Linked DNA regions of Mus musculus. Each later gene encodes a partner of the first gene's protein in a complex. Links are inferred from orthologs where the notes say so. Each region holds a gene or a part of one and is shown on either strand. Other genes may lie near its edges.

Evidence for each region. The genes of interacting proteins can lie anywhere in the genome.
Region 2: the proteins of Tnni2 (region 1) and Tnnc1 are in contact, whole or in part, in an NMR structure (PDB 2MKP), measured with the Homo sapiens proteins. The link is inferred for Mus musculus from reciprocal best matches to the Homo sapiens genes TNNI2 and TNNC1. Residues at the interface, in NP_001139301.1 of Homo sapiens: Arg116, Met117, Ser118, Ala119, Asp120, Ala121, Met122, Leu123, Ala125, Leu126, Leu127, Lys130, His131, Lys132; in NP_003271.1 of Homo sapiens: Asn18, Glu19, Phe20, Ala22, Ala23, Ile26, Val44, Met45, Met47, Leu48, Gln50, Pro52, Glu56, Phe77, Met80, Met81, Cys84, Met85, Lys86, Asp87.
Region 3: the proteins of Tnni2 (region 1) and Tnnc2 are in contact, whole or in part, in a crystal structure (PDB 1A2X), measured with the Oryctolagus cuniculus proteins. The link is inferred for Mus musculus from reciprocal best matches to the Homo sapiens genes TNNI2 and TNNC2. Residues at the interface, in NP_001076252.1 of Oryctolagus cuniculus: Glu5, Asn8, Arg9, Ile11, Thr12, Arg14, Arg15, Gln16, His17, Leu18, Lys19, Ser20, Val21, Met22, Leu23, Ile25, Ala26, Glu29, Leu30, Glu33; in NP_001076114.1 of Oryctolagus cuniculus: Ser13, Glu15, Met16, Ala18, Glu19, Ala22, Lys91, Leu96, Glu98, Cys99, Arg101, Ile102, Phe103, Arg105, Ile119, Phe120, Ala122, Ser123, Glu125, His126, Val127, Glu131, Ser134, Leu135, Asp138, Phe152, Met155, Met156, Val159, Gln160.

The regions. Positions count from the first base shown.
Region 1 is NC_000073.6:142,440,993-142,444,653, reverse strand, and holds Tnni2 (troponin I, fast skeletal muscle), read right to left. Parts: upstream 2,839-3,661; 5' UTR 2,786-2,838; intron 2,186-2,785; 5' UTR 2,164-2,185; coding exon 2,156-2,163; intron 1,964-2,155; coding exon 1,957-1,963; intron 1,484-1,956; coding exon 1,442-1,483; intron 1,352-1,441; coding exon 1,223-1,351; intron 1,084-1,222; coding exon 994-1,083; intron 749-993; coding exon 572-748; intron 440-571; coding exon 344-439; 3' UTR 244-343; downstream 1-243. UniProt on the Homo sapiens protein: Troponin I is the inhibitory subunit of troponin, the thin filament regulatory complex which confers calcium-sensitivity to striated muscle actomyosin ATPase activity.
Region 2 is NC_000080.6:31,207,144-31,210,868, reverse strand, and holds the start of Tnnc1 (troponin C, slow skeletal and cardiac muscles), read right to left. Parts: upstream 2,558-3,725; 5' UTR 2,515-2,557; coding exon 2,491-2,514; intron 1,067-2,490; coding exon 1,036-1,066; intron 810-1,035; coding exon 663-809; intron 306-662; coding exon 191-305; intron 1-190. UniProt on the Homo sapiens protein: Troponin is the central regulatory protein of striated muscle contraction. Tn consists of three components: Tn-I which is the inhibitor of actomyosin ATPase, Tn-T which contains the binding site for tropomyosin and Tn-C.
Region 3 is NC_000068.7:164,777,457-164,781,181, forward strand, and holds the start of Tnnc2 (troponin C, skeletal muscle), read right to left. Parts: upstream 2,279-3,725; 5' UTR 2,210-2,278; coding exon 2,207-2,209; intron 772-2,206; coding exon 720-771; intron 632-719; coding exon 488-631; intron 390-487; coding exon 275-389; intron 153-274; coding exon 16-152; intron 1-15. UniProt on the Homo sapiens protein: Troponin is the central regulatory protein of striated muscle contraction. Tn consists of three components: Tn-I which is the inhibitor of actomyosin ATPase, Tn-T which contains the binding site for tropomyosin and Tn-C.

The sequences.
Region 1 (3,661 bases):
TGACTGCACCAAGGAACAAAGAAGCTGATCCCAGACTCCCACTCAGATATGTTGGAGTCCATGGTCATCTTTCTCCACGTTCTGTCATGTTAGACAGGTCCAGACATTGACCACACCCACCAGTTACAGGATACAGCCCAGGGTCTTTGAATTCTACCCAAGCAGTATGGCCTCTCTCCTGCCACACTGCTGGTCACTGATGATGGACTCCAGAGTGGGCAGAGACAGAACTAGACCACACTGTGAAAGAGATGTGAATCCTTTATTGGAGCGAGGCCAAGTACTCCCAGACTGGATGTTGGGTGCTTCCCCAATGCTAGGGTGGTACTGGGGAAGTGGGCAGTTAGGACTCAGACTCGAACATTTTCTTCCGGCCCTCCATGCCAGACTTCTCCTCAATATTCTTCCTCCAGTCACCCACGTCACGCAGGTCCCGTTCCTGAGGGTAGGACCAGAGAGGTCTCAGATCCACTCCAGTCTGCTCCAGACTACCCTTGGCCTTGCTTTACTATCTATGAAAGGGACTGTAAGTGGACTCTCCCTCTTGGCTCTCCCCTGGGCCCTGACCTACCTTCTCAGTGTCTTCCTTCTTGACCTGCTTCAGGTTGGCCCTCAGGTCCATGCACACCTTGTGCTTAGAGCCCAGCAGCGCCTTCAGCATGGCGTCGGCAGACATACGCACCCTCCGAAGTGGGGGCCTCTTGAACTTGCCCCTCAGGTCAAATAGCTTCTGGTTCATGTCTTCCAGCTGGGAGGAAGGAACAGGAGGTTTAGGAGCCTGACAGCCTCCATGTCCCTGATCTTGCCCTGTATCTTTGGCCTTACTTTCTCATCACCTGGCTTCATCCCATAGCAGCTGGTTCCACCTTCATATCGCCTGTGCTACCCTGCAAGCCACTGGCTCCACCCCATGCAATATGTCCCACCCCCTCACCATTGGCTCCTCCCCATGCCATATGCCCCACCCCCTCACCACGGGCTCCTCCCTCTCACCTCCTTGCTGCTCTTCTGCACCTTCACCTCCATGTCATATTTCTCCTCTTCAGCCACGTCGATCTTCGCATGCAGTTGTTTGCAGAGTTCCTGGGTGGGCAAGCAGTGGGTGGGTGGCCACCCTGATACCTGAGGATCATTGTTCCCTCCCAGTCCTGATCAGGAGGGTTGACCTGCTGAGGAGTTGGGATAGTAGGGTCTTGGGTGGTACGGGGCAGGAAGGAACTACCTGCACTTCAGACATGGAGCCTGGGATGTGCAGTGGCGGGCAGTGTTCTGACAGGTAGTTCTCCTTCTCAGATTCTCGGCGGCTTTCCTCTTTCTCCAGCTCTGTGGCCGCTATCTGGAGCATCACACTCTGAGAAACAGAATGGTGGGAGTGAGGGTCTGCAGTGAACTCCCACCCCTACCTCTATATCCACAGGCCTCTGCAGCAGCCCACCCTTACCTTCAGGTGCTGTCTCCGGGCCGTGATGGCCCTGTTGCGCTTCTGCAGGACAGGACAGAGGGGTCAGAGTCAGGCCTTAGCTGGAGCTCTGACCTGCTTAGAGTCATCTGACTTGGGGTTCCCAAGGAGATAACAAGGCCACTGCCCAGGGCCCTGGTGTTTTTCCCTAGTCCAGGGCCTGCTTCAGGGACACATGCCTGTGGTCCTGACTCTTTGCTTAGGTGGTACATAGGGCTGAAGGGGGTAATGGGGATAAGGAGGCAGGATATAGCCAGGCCTCAGGGACTGTGGGCAAGGGGAGGCCCGGAAGGTGAGTGGTGAACAGAAATTAGAAAGGAGAAGTGATTCCCTTGTGACTAGGCCCAAGTCTTACTTCCCTTGCCTCATAAAGCACCAGGCAGGCACTTCCTCTCTTTCTCTGGGGGTAGTTCAGGGGGTGGGGCACTTGGGGGCCTTGACAGGGGTGTCTTCTGTCCTAGCCTCAGGGGACTATTATAGCCTCTAGTGATACTCACCTCCTCACTGTCCCAGGAGGAAGAGGGAGGTGGGAGTGGGAGAAAAAAAGAGAAGTTAGACTGTGGCTCACAGGAGTAGCCATGAAACCTAGGGTTTGATGGGGTTGAAGGGTTGGGCGGCAGCCACAAAGGGCAGGGAGATAGGAGACCCAAGCCCTGGTGAGGGACTGCAGTACGGGTCACCCTGGGTATCACTTACTCTCCCATCCTGAGATCTCAAGCTCTGATCCTGTGGGGAGAGAGGTGATGGTGTCAGTGTCCGCCTTGCGTGAGGCTAGGCATGGAGACCTGGCCTTGCTAGGCTACTTCTGCTCTACCCGCAACTCAGACCTTCTCAGAGGACATCACCCCCCACCCCCACCCTGAAGATGAGAAGTAAGAGGAGAAAGTGTTCCCAAAATGTCCCGGGCGGGGCCTGAGGAGCTGCAGCTGTCCCCGAGGGAGGGATGGGGTGGGGCTGGCCAGCACAGGTGGCTGCCAGGGTGAGCCTGTTATTTTTAACTCTTGCTCCTTTGGCTTGAGAAGTGAATGCACGGAAGAAAGTGTTCTTCTGTGTGGCCTGGGGGCTCAGGTCCCTACTTGCTTGACCTGAACATTTTCCTGCTTGTGTGTCCCCAGAGACAGGGCCTGTTATCCGAGGCCCATTGTAGACCCCTGTCCTATCCTAGTAGCACATGTTGCTCTCAACCCTAGATCTGTGGGAGACCTCAGAGAGAGCTGTCGGCAGCAGACCCCCAAACCCCCAAGCCCCTGCCCGGGGAAGTCCTCCTATGAGCCAGCCTGAGTAGTGCTCTAGTCTCCCACCTCAAGAAGATGGGCTGGGCCTCACCTAGATGCTGTGCAGCAGTGCTGGGAGCGAGGTCAGGCCGGCAGCAGTGAGTTGGGCTGGTGGGCCAGGGGGAGGGGTATAAATTGCTTTCCCTGGGCCGGGCCCCTGCTCAGAAAGGGCATGGAGTCTCCTCAGACCAATGGGGGCACAGAGAGGAGGAGAGCCTCTCCACCTGCCCAGCCGCCTGGCCGGTCAGCCCAGGCGCTGGCCTGTCCAAGAAGTCTTGGGGTGGGGAGTTGGGGGTGGTTTGCTCTATTTATGTCTCAATGACGAGTTCAAGATGCCAGCCTTGTTCCTGCAAGAGCCCTCAGGACAGCAAGGGTAACCTTCCATGTGGGTCTCCAAGGTACCCAGCTCAAACATCCACTGAAGTCTTCCTCCAAAGGAAACCGGACTTCACCAAAAGTAGGCTGAACTGGAGTCATTGTCAAATGGTATGTGTGGTCTTGTAGTTTTGCACCCACTTGGCCGCTCATTGCCTGCTGGGTGTTCATGCCCTGCTTGGACCCCTGGGCTGACTGTTCACCTCACCAGTCTTCCTGCAAAATTGAGCGCACATGCGCGCGCGCACACACACACACACACACACACACACACACACACACACACACCAAACAAAAACAAAAGCATTCTCTTAGGCCCTGTGTGGAAGGCAGTCAGGGCTCAGGAGAGTGGTGCCCACCTCTTATAGTGAACTTGCCTTTCTGCCCAGGAAGAGAGAAGCAAAAGGGTCCCTGGACCAGCAGCCGGGCCTCTCTCCGCCTGCCACACACCCTGCCCATGGGTGCCTCTGCACAGGCAACTTGAAACATGTCCTTCAACCCCAGAGAGTGGTGCCACCGCCCTAGGAACCTTTCTCTGACCTGTGGGGGCTCA
Region 2 (3,725 bases), on another chromosome or scaffold:
CAGGGTTTTTCTATGCAGCCCTAGCTGTCCTGGAACTCACTCTGTAGACTAGGTTGACCTCAAACTCAGAGATTCACTTGCCTCTATCTCCCGAGTGCTGGGATTAAAGGTGTGCGCCACCACTGCCCAGCTGAAACCACCCCTTCTCCTCTCTGCTTGGGCCAGGGTCAGAAGCCAAGCAAGTCCTCACTTGTCAAACATGCGGAAGAGATCCGACAGCTCCTCCTCAGACTTCCCTTTGCTGTCGTCCTTCATGCACCGAACCATCATGACAAGAAACTCATCGAAGTCCACTGTGCCACTGCCTGTGGGTAGGCAGCAGGGCCGGAGAGAGAACAGTTAGCATTCCAGCAATCCACGCCCCCCCCCCTCCTCCCCACACTATAGGGCTAGTGTGTTCCTTTGCCCACTCCTCTTGTTTGAGATAGAACCTTGCTCTGCAGTCCAAGATGGACTGGACCATAGAGAGCTATGTGACCCAATCAGACTGACTTCAAACTCACAGCAGATCTACTACCTCAGCCTTCTTGGAATCACAGTATGAGCTACTTGCCAAGTTTCTGGATGAGATGGTGAAGATATGGAGGGGAGGTAGCTCCTGGGCCAGTGAACCCAGGGTGCTACATACACGTGTGGAGACTGGAGTGGGTGAAGGGACTCACCATCCTCGTCTACTTCGTCAATCATCTCCTGCAGCTCCTCAGGTGTGGGGTTCTGGCCCAGCATCCTCATCACCTTGCCCAGCTCCTTGGTGCTGATGCAGCCATCCTCCGCGCCCAGGACAAAGATATCAAAGGCAGCCTTGAACTCTGGGTCCAACAGAGGGTGAGAAGATTGGATCAGCAGCCAGGAGGACACTAGGAATCCAGGTCCCTGGGGCCACCAGGAAATTGTCCACCTCCCTTCGAGAGTTCTTTGAGGTCACAGCAAGGAGAACCCTCAGATTATAGCCTCTAATCTGGGGTTCATTCCTGGAAAGGCGTCCCCCCTCTACGCCCCCCCAGCCCTGCTGTCCCCTCAATGGGAGACACTTACCATTCTTCTGCTCCTCTGTCAACTGTTCTACCTAGAGAGAAGAGGGGAACTCAGGACCTCAGGACCCAAGCTCAGGCCTTAGCAGACTTAGAGACTGACCCCATTCTACAGGTGGGAAGAATGATAACAGAAGGAGAATATATTCCCAGGTTACAAAGTCCTCCTTCCCTGCCCTAAGGTGACCCAGATGGTTTCTCAGAGGCTGGGCTAGGGCCAAGGTGACAGGCAGGCACCCCTCCCAGGACCAAGGTGTCCTGAGTGACAATAGTCATTGACCATTGCATGTCCTTTATGTCATCCTAATGAAACTTAAGCTGCATGGCCTGAGAGACAGCTGTCCCTCAGGTTGAGACAATAAAACGAATGTGGGGGCGAGCAAAGCCACCCACTGTAACCTGACCAGGGTGGCCACTGAGCTATTTTTAAAGGGGGACAAAGTTAAACCTGGTGATTGTTCTGGGGACTTTGGTATGCAGGGGGTGGGGTAGTGTTATCTGCCCCCCTGGCCTACTGGTGCTGCCTCAGGAGCCAAAATTAGTCCCCAGCCCCGCCAGGCCTTGTATGGGCACTGGGTGGAGGGCCACCCCCCTACTCCAGCTCCACAGACTCCTACAAGATAGCCAAGGATACCATAGGAACCAGCTGCAGCCCTTCCCTGCTCACAAGTGGGGCCATATTCCGGGGGTTGGGAGAGAATTTCCTGAGAACAGCTGTTTGCTAGGATTTTCTTGTCTCTGAAGCAGGTATATCAAAAGTCCCTCAGCGTCCCCAGGAAATCGAACAGTCTTAGGGTCACTGTTCTCTAACCCTGACTCTTATCACTCTCAACTCCTACCTAACCCCTGAGCCTGCCAGGGACTGAGGTTCCAACAAGCCATTCCTTCTTCCCTCCCTCTCCTCAGGCCTGTACCTTCAAAGCATCTTTCCCATCCCAGGACTCAAGTTCTCCAGCCCTCTCACAATTCCCTCCCACCTTCTAGAGCCTCCTCATCCAGCTCAGGGGCTAGAGGAGAGAGGCAGATCTGAGTATGTAAGAAGCAGATTGTGAGAAATGGAAGCTTGGGAGGGGGTGCGGGGCGCAGACCTGGAGACACACAGAGAGACAAAGACTCAGAGACATCGTGAGGAAGGAACAGAGATGGAAAGACCTTGTGAAAGACCAACAGATGTCTAAAGAATAAAAACACAAATACACTCAAGACAGTGACAGGTTAGAAACAGAGGGAGACACAGGATGCTGAAAGCTGAGACCATACCCCTAGCCACATTGACAAACCCCTGAATTGCTACCCTTTCTGCATCCCCCAAATGTCAGCTCAAGGGGCTGGGTTACAGGTGTGTGGGGACCCTTTTGAGTCCCCCATCACTTCCCTAGTGTACCCCTGTCCTCCATCCTTAGCTAAGGGAACCCCAATGGACCTACCCACCCTAACCCCTTAAAGATTCATCTCTCACCGCAGCTTTGTAGATGTCATCCATTCTGGCGACAGCTCACAGGACAGGCTACTGGGGTTGCCAGCCAGCCAGCCCTCTGCTTGGGCTTATATAGCCCTGCCTCCCTCCACCTCCTGCTACATTCCCAGCCCAGCCCACCACTGCCTGGAATATCCTCCACCCCCTCCCTGGTCCCTGTAATCTCAGGCTGGCCAAAGTCCCTGTATCATCTGCCTAGGGCCAGGAGCTATGAAGGACTGCAAGGACCAGGTCTCTTGCCATCTGTTCCCCAGACCCCACCCCACCCCCAGGGAAGTCTCAAGAAAAAAAAAAGAATGTATTGCTTTTATTTATGAGTGCATGTGGAAGTCAAAGGACAACTTGCAGGAGTCATCTATCTCTCTCTGCTACCTAGGTTCCCAGGAACCCAGGACTGAACTCAAGTTTTCAGGTTTGGGAGCAAGCACCTAAATGCAATACACACACACACACACACACACACACACACACACATCCTCAACAACCTCAGGAAAAAGTTTCCTGAATGAATGAAAATATGAGCACACAGGAAATGTGAAGTAAACAGTTCGGTCTTCTATGGAATCACAGTGACTTGCCTGAGGTCAAGCTGACCGGAGAATCCCTACCTTATATTACACCCCCTGAGAGATGGTAGCATGCCAACAGAGGCTGGCAGTGTAAGTCCTGCCAAGAAACACTTCCTATGCAAGGTTCAGAGTATAATATGACACTGGTAATGGAAGAAGTCACTGGCCCACAAAGAATAGGCTGGCCTGAAGCCCTTCAGCGGGATCTACCACGCCGCAACCTTCCATCTTTCAAGGACAACAATCAGTGTTCACTTCGGGTTTGAGTCAGCTGCATTCTGTGAGTCAACAAGTGTCCCTAAAGAACCCTATGTCTATCAGGATTCTCTCTTTTCCTCCTCCGGTTGGGTCATCTCTTCTCCAGCTAAGTCTTCCCTATGGTTGTTCCCTATGGATGTTTCTTCAGCCACGCTCTTGTGTCCAAGGCCTAGTCTGTCTCCTCCTCACCTTGAGCTCTTGCAGGATGTCATCTGGGAAACCAGATGGACAGCGCATATCTCTTCCATCCACCTGCACGTCTGCTGCATATAAGCTCTCCCTGAACACACCAGTGTGCCGCCTAGCACACTGCCAGGGGAAAGCCCGTGGGGTACTGAGCACTGCAGAATCACCACAATCAATTCTCCACCAGTACTTTTAACAACAAAC
Region 3 (3,725 bases), on another chromosome or scaffold:
CCAGCTGGCCCTCACCATCAAAGTCAATGCGGCCGTCGTTGTTTTTATCACCATCCTTCATCAGGGATTCGATCTCCTCTTCTGTCACATGCTCCCCAGAAGCCCGGAAAATCTCAGCTAGCTCCTCAGCATCAATGTAGCCGTCTGCGTTCCTTTGGGAGGGAAGGACAGAGAAGGACACAGGGTCAACCTCACCCTGGCCAGCCTGCTTCTTCACTTCAGGCCCACGGGCTCCATCTGCTCTCAGGTCCAGGATCCCGGAAGCCCCACGCACCTGTCAAAGATGCGGAAGCACTCAGCCAGTTCCTCTTCGCTCTTCCCCTTCGCATCCTCTTTCATCTGGCGCACCATCATGACCAAGAACTCTTCAAAGTCGATAGTACCGCTGCCTGCAAGGATCGGGGTTGGCAGATGTGGGGCCTGCTTAGCCCAAGGTGCCCTGTGCCTCTCTCCTCCCGGTCCCCTGCCCTGGAGGAGCCCAACTCACCATCCTCGTCCACCTCCTCGATGATGGCATCCAATTCCTCTTTGGTGGGTGTCTGCCCTAGCATCCTCATCACGGTGCCCAACTCTTTAACGCTGATGTCCCCACCGCCATCAGCATCGAACATGTCAAAGGCAGCCTTGAACTCTAGCGGGGAGACAGGAGGAGCGATGGGTGAGGCCAGTTGGATTGTCAGCCTCACACCGCATCTCTCCCAATGGCTAGCTCTACTCACCAGCGATCATCTCCTCGCTGAGGTAGGACCTGGCCTCAGCCTGTTGGTCCGTCTGTAGAAAGCAGAGAGAATCAGAGCGTAGAAGGGCAGACTCTCACCCCAGCTTCAGCCTCCCTAGCCCCCTCTTGTATTAGGAAGAGCCCCTGGGTCCTCCAGAACCACTCCAAACCAGCAGTACCTCCCAGGTACCCGTTGGTGCCCATCCCCAGTGCCAAAGGGACACAGGTTATACCCACAGTTTCTTCAGAGAGTAGTCGGGGAACCCCCACCCCAACAGTGACCTTTGGCAAGTCACTCTTCCTATGACTTTGTAGAGATAATAAGAAATCAGGATTGAGAGAGGGCTTGAGTGTGTTAGTGCCATTCACTGGTGATCTTTTAGTTTCCCTGTCTCCTATTGCTGCCTGGGACTTGACCAGTTGGTCAATGAATATTTGTCCTCAACTAAATAACGGAATGCAAAAGTCACAGAACATCTGCCAAGCGCTTGGACGCTGAGACCACAAGAAGAGATGGGCAGCTTTGCCTCAGACAGTTCTCAGAGGCAAGACTTCCCACTCGGTCATCGGCGTAAACACCTCTCTTGATGTCAAATGTGACGGAGCCTTGCCCTGGTGTGAAAATAAAAACCCTTTGTTCCATTTCAACGTTCTGGCTTTGGTGTTTAGAGAGTCTTGCTATGTAGCTCACTCGGGTTGGCCTGGCATGCCACATGTGAGCATGTAAGTAAGATTTCTGTGAATTTCTCTGGGACACATCCAAGCCAGGCCATCTGGGTCAGGGCTTTGGACTCGGGATGGTGAAGAAGGGGTGACGAGTCCCAAGACATCCTTCAGCCAGCTGGCCCAGTTCCTCCTTCCCTCCTCCGGCCCTTGGCCTGATCCAGGAGGATAGGCTATTTTTAGTTGGGCATGGGCAATGGCAGCTGGTCTCTGGAGTCCAATTACTTCTTCAAGTCAAGTAGGAGGGGTACGCAGAAGAAAGTGGCAGGTCCAGATCAGACCCCCTCTGTGGCTGGTCAGAGGCTCTAACGCTGGCCGGGTACCCACCCTACTAACCATCCTCCTCAGGATTCTTAGAGGAAGCCTTCCTTCTTGGGTCGCCACAGGCTTGGCTGAGCCTATGAAGCCTACTCTGTGTCTGCCCTGCTGGGTCACTTTTCTGCCCTCGTGCTCTCCATCTCTCCGTGGAAGCAGACAGGCTAAGACCTTTCCACACAGCTCTGGCTGCACAATAGCACTGTTCCAAACCTCAAGGTGGCCAGGAACTCATAAACCTTGAAGATTAATTCCTGAACTATCCTGGCCAGCCTTCCCCACCCAAGAGAAGTCATAGCCTTTATAGGACATCTCCTCGGGACTTGAGTTCTGGCAACCCTTCCACCTTCAGATGTCCATATTCCTGCCCACAGAACACACAGTTCTAGGACAGAGAGGGGCCTAGAAGTAGCCTGGGGACAAAAGTGTGAAGACCCTTCTTGTCCTTACCATGGTTGCTGGCGACTGGGACTCCTCCGCTGTGGGTTGTCTCCTCCGCACTCCACCACCCAAAGGTGCCCCAGATCTCTCTAGCCCCCAGGATTTGTAGGGGCATCCTCTCTTCCCTCCTCCCTCCTCCCCAGAACTGGATATCCTGACCAATCAGATGCAGGGGGCAGCAAGCCCCTCCCCTCCTAGAGTCCTAGCCCATTACCTAATTTAGCCAAGGTCCTTTGCAGGGAAATTTAAGCTTCGGAGCAGGTGGCACTCTCTGGCGTTCTCCTGGATTCTTAGGAGGAGGGCCCCGCCCTGCTCCACTGTCTTAGGGGAGCTCCTCCCCCCACCCCACTCCAGCACATGTGTTTCAAAATGGGGGAGGATGTCCAGAAGGAGGGCACAGCAGAATGGGAAGAGCCCAGGCTTGACGTCCAAAATTCATTCATTCCCGACTCTGTTCTCCCCCTGAGCCACGGGAATGTGGGCGGATGGTGAGGGCCCTCAAGGCACACCTTCCTCCAAGATAGAAATGGCAACCATGAGCCCAGATGACTAAGTCACCTAGCTTGTGCTGGGTGCCTAGGGGAAGTGATGCGTAGCATTGAGCTAGTGACACCATGTATTGAACTCCCACAACCTGTGCCCACACTACGCTGAGCATCTTGATTCCGTGATCTCATCTACTATTCATTCCATGAAGGTAACTATTATTATCCCCATCTGACTACAGCAGAAGCCATACAGTCCATAGAGGAATTCTTTCCCTCACTTTGGAAGCCAGAGCTCATATAGTGCAGACCGGCCTTGAACCCCTTATGTAGCCGACGTTATCCTTGAGGTTCTAATCCCCCTACTTCCACCTCCAGAGGGCTTCGATCTACAGGCATGTACCACCAAACCCTGTTTAACTCCTTTGATTTATTTTGCAAAAGAGTCTGCCCTGTCAAGTGAGCCGCCCTCCGAATCCTGGGTTCAAGTGACCCTCTTGCTTTAGTCTCCCAAGTCACTGAGACTATAGGCATGCTAGATTATAGCGCTGGGTGGGAATTCAAGCCTCAGCCTTGTGCATGCTATAAAGTACTCTACCCACTGAGCTACACCCCCAGCCCTGGCGATTCTTTTAAAACGTAATTTTCTTAATGTGTATGGATGTTCTGTCTGCGCATATGTCTGTGCGTCATGTGTATGCCTAGGGCCCAAAGAGGCCGGAAGGAGACACCAGATCCCACGGTTGGGAGCCACCACGTGGGTGCTAGGAACTGAACCAAGGTCCTCTGGAAGAACAGCAAGTGCTCTTGAGCACTGAGCCGCAGCCTTGACAATTCTTTTTCTTTGCGGGGGTGGGGGGTGGGGGGTGGGGGGTGGGGTGGGGGGTTGAGACAGGGTTTCTCTGTGTAACCCTGGCTGTCCTGGAACTCACTTTGTAGACCAGGCTGGCCTTGAACTCAGAAATCCGCCTGCCTCTGCCTCCCGAGTGCTGGGATTAAAGGCATGCGCCACCACGCCGGGCAAGCCTTGCCAATTCTTATGT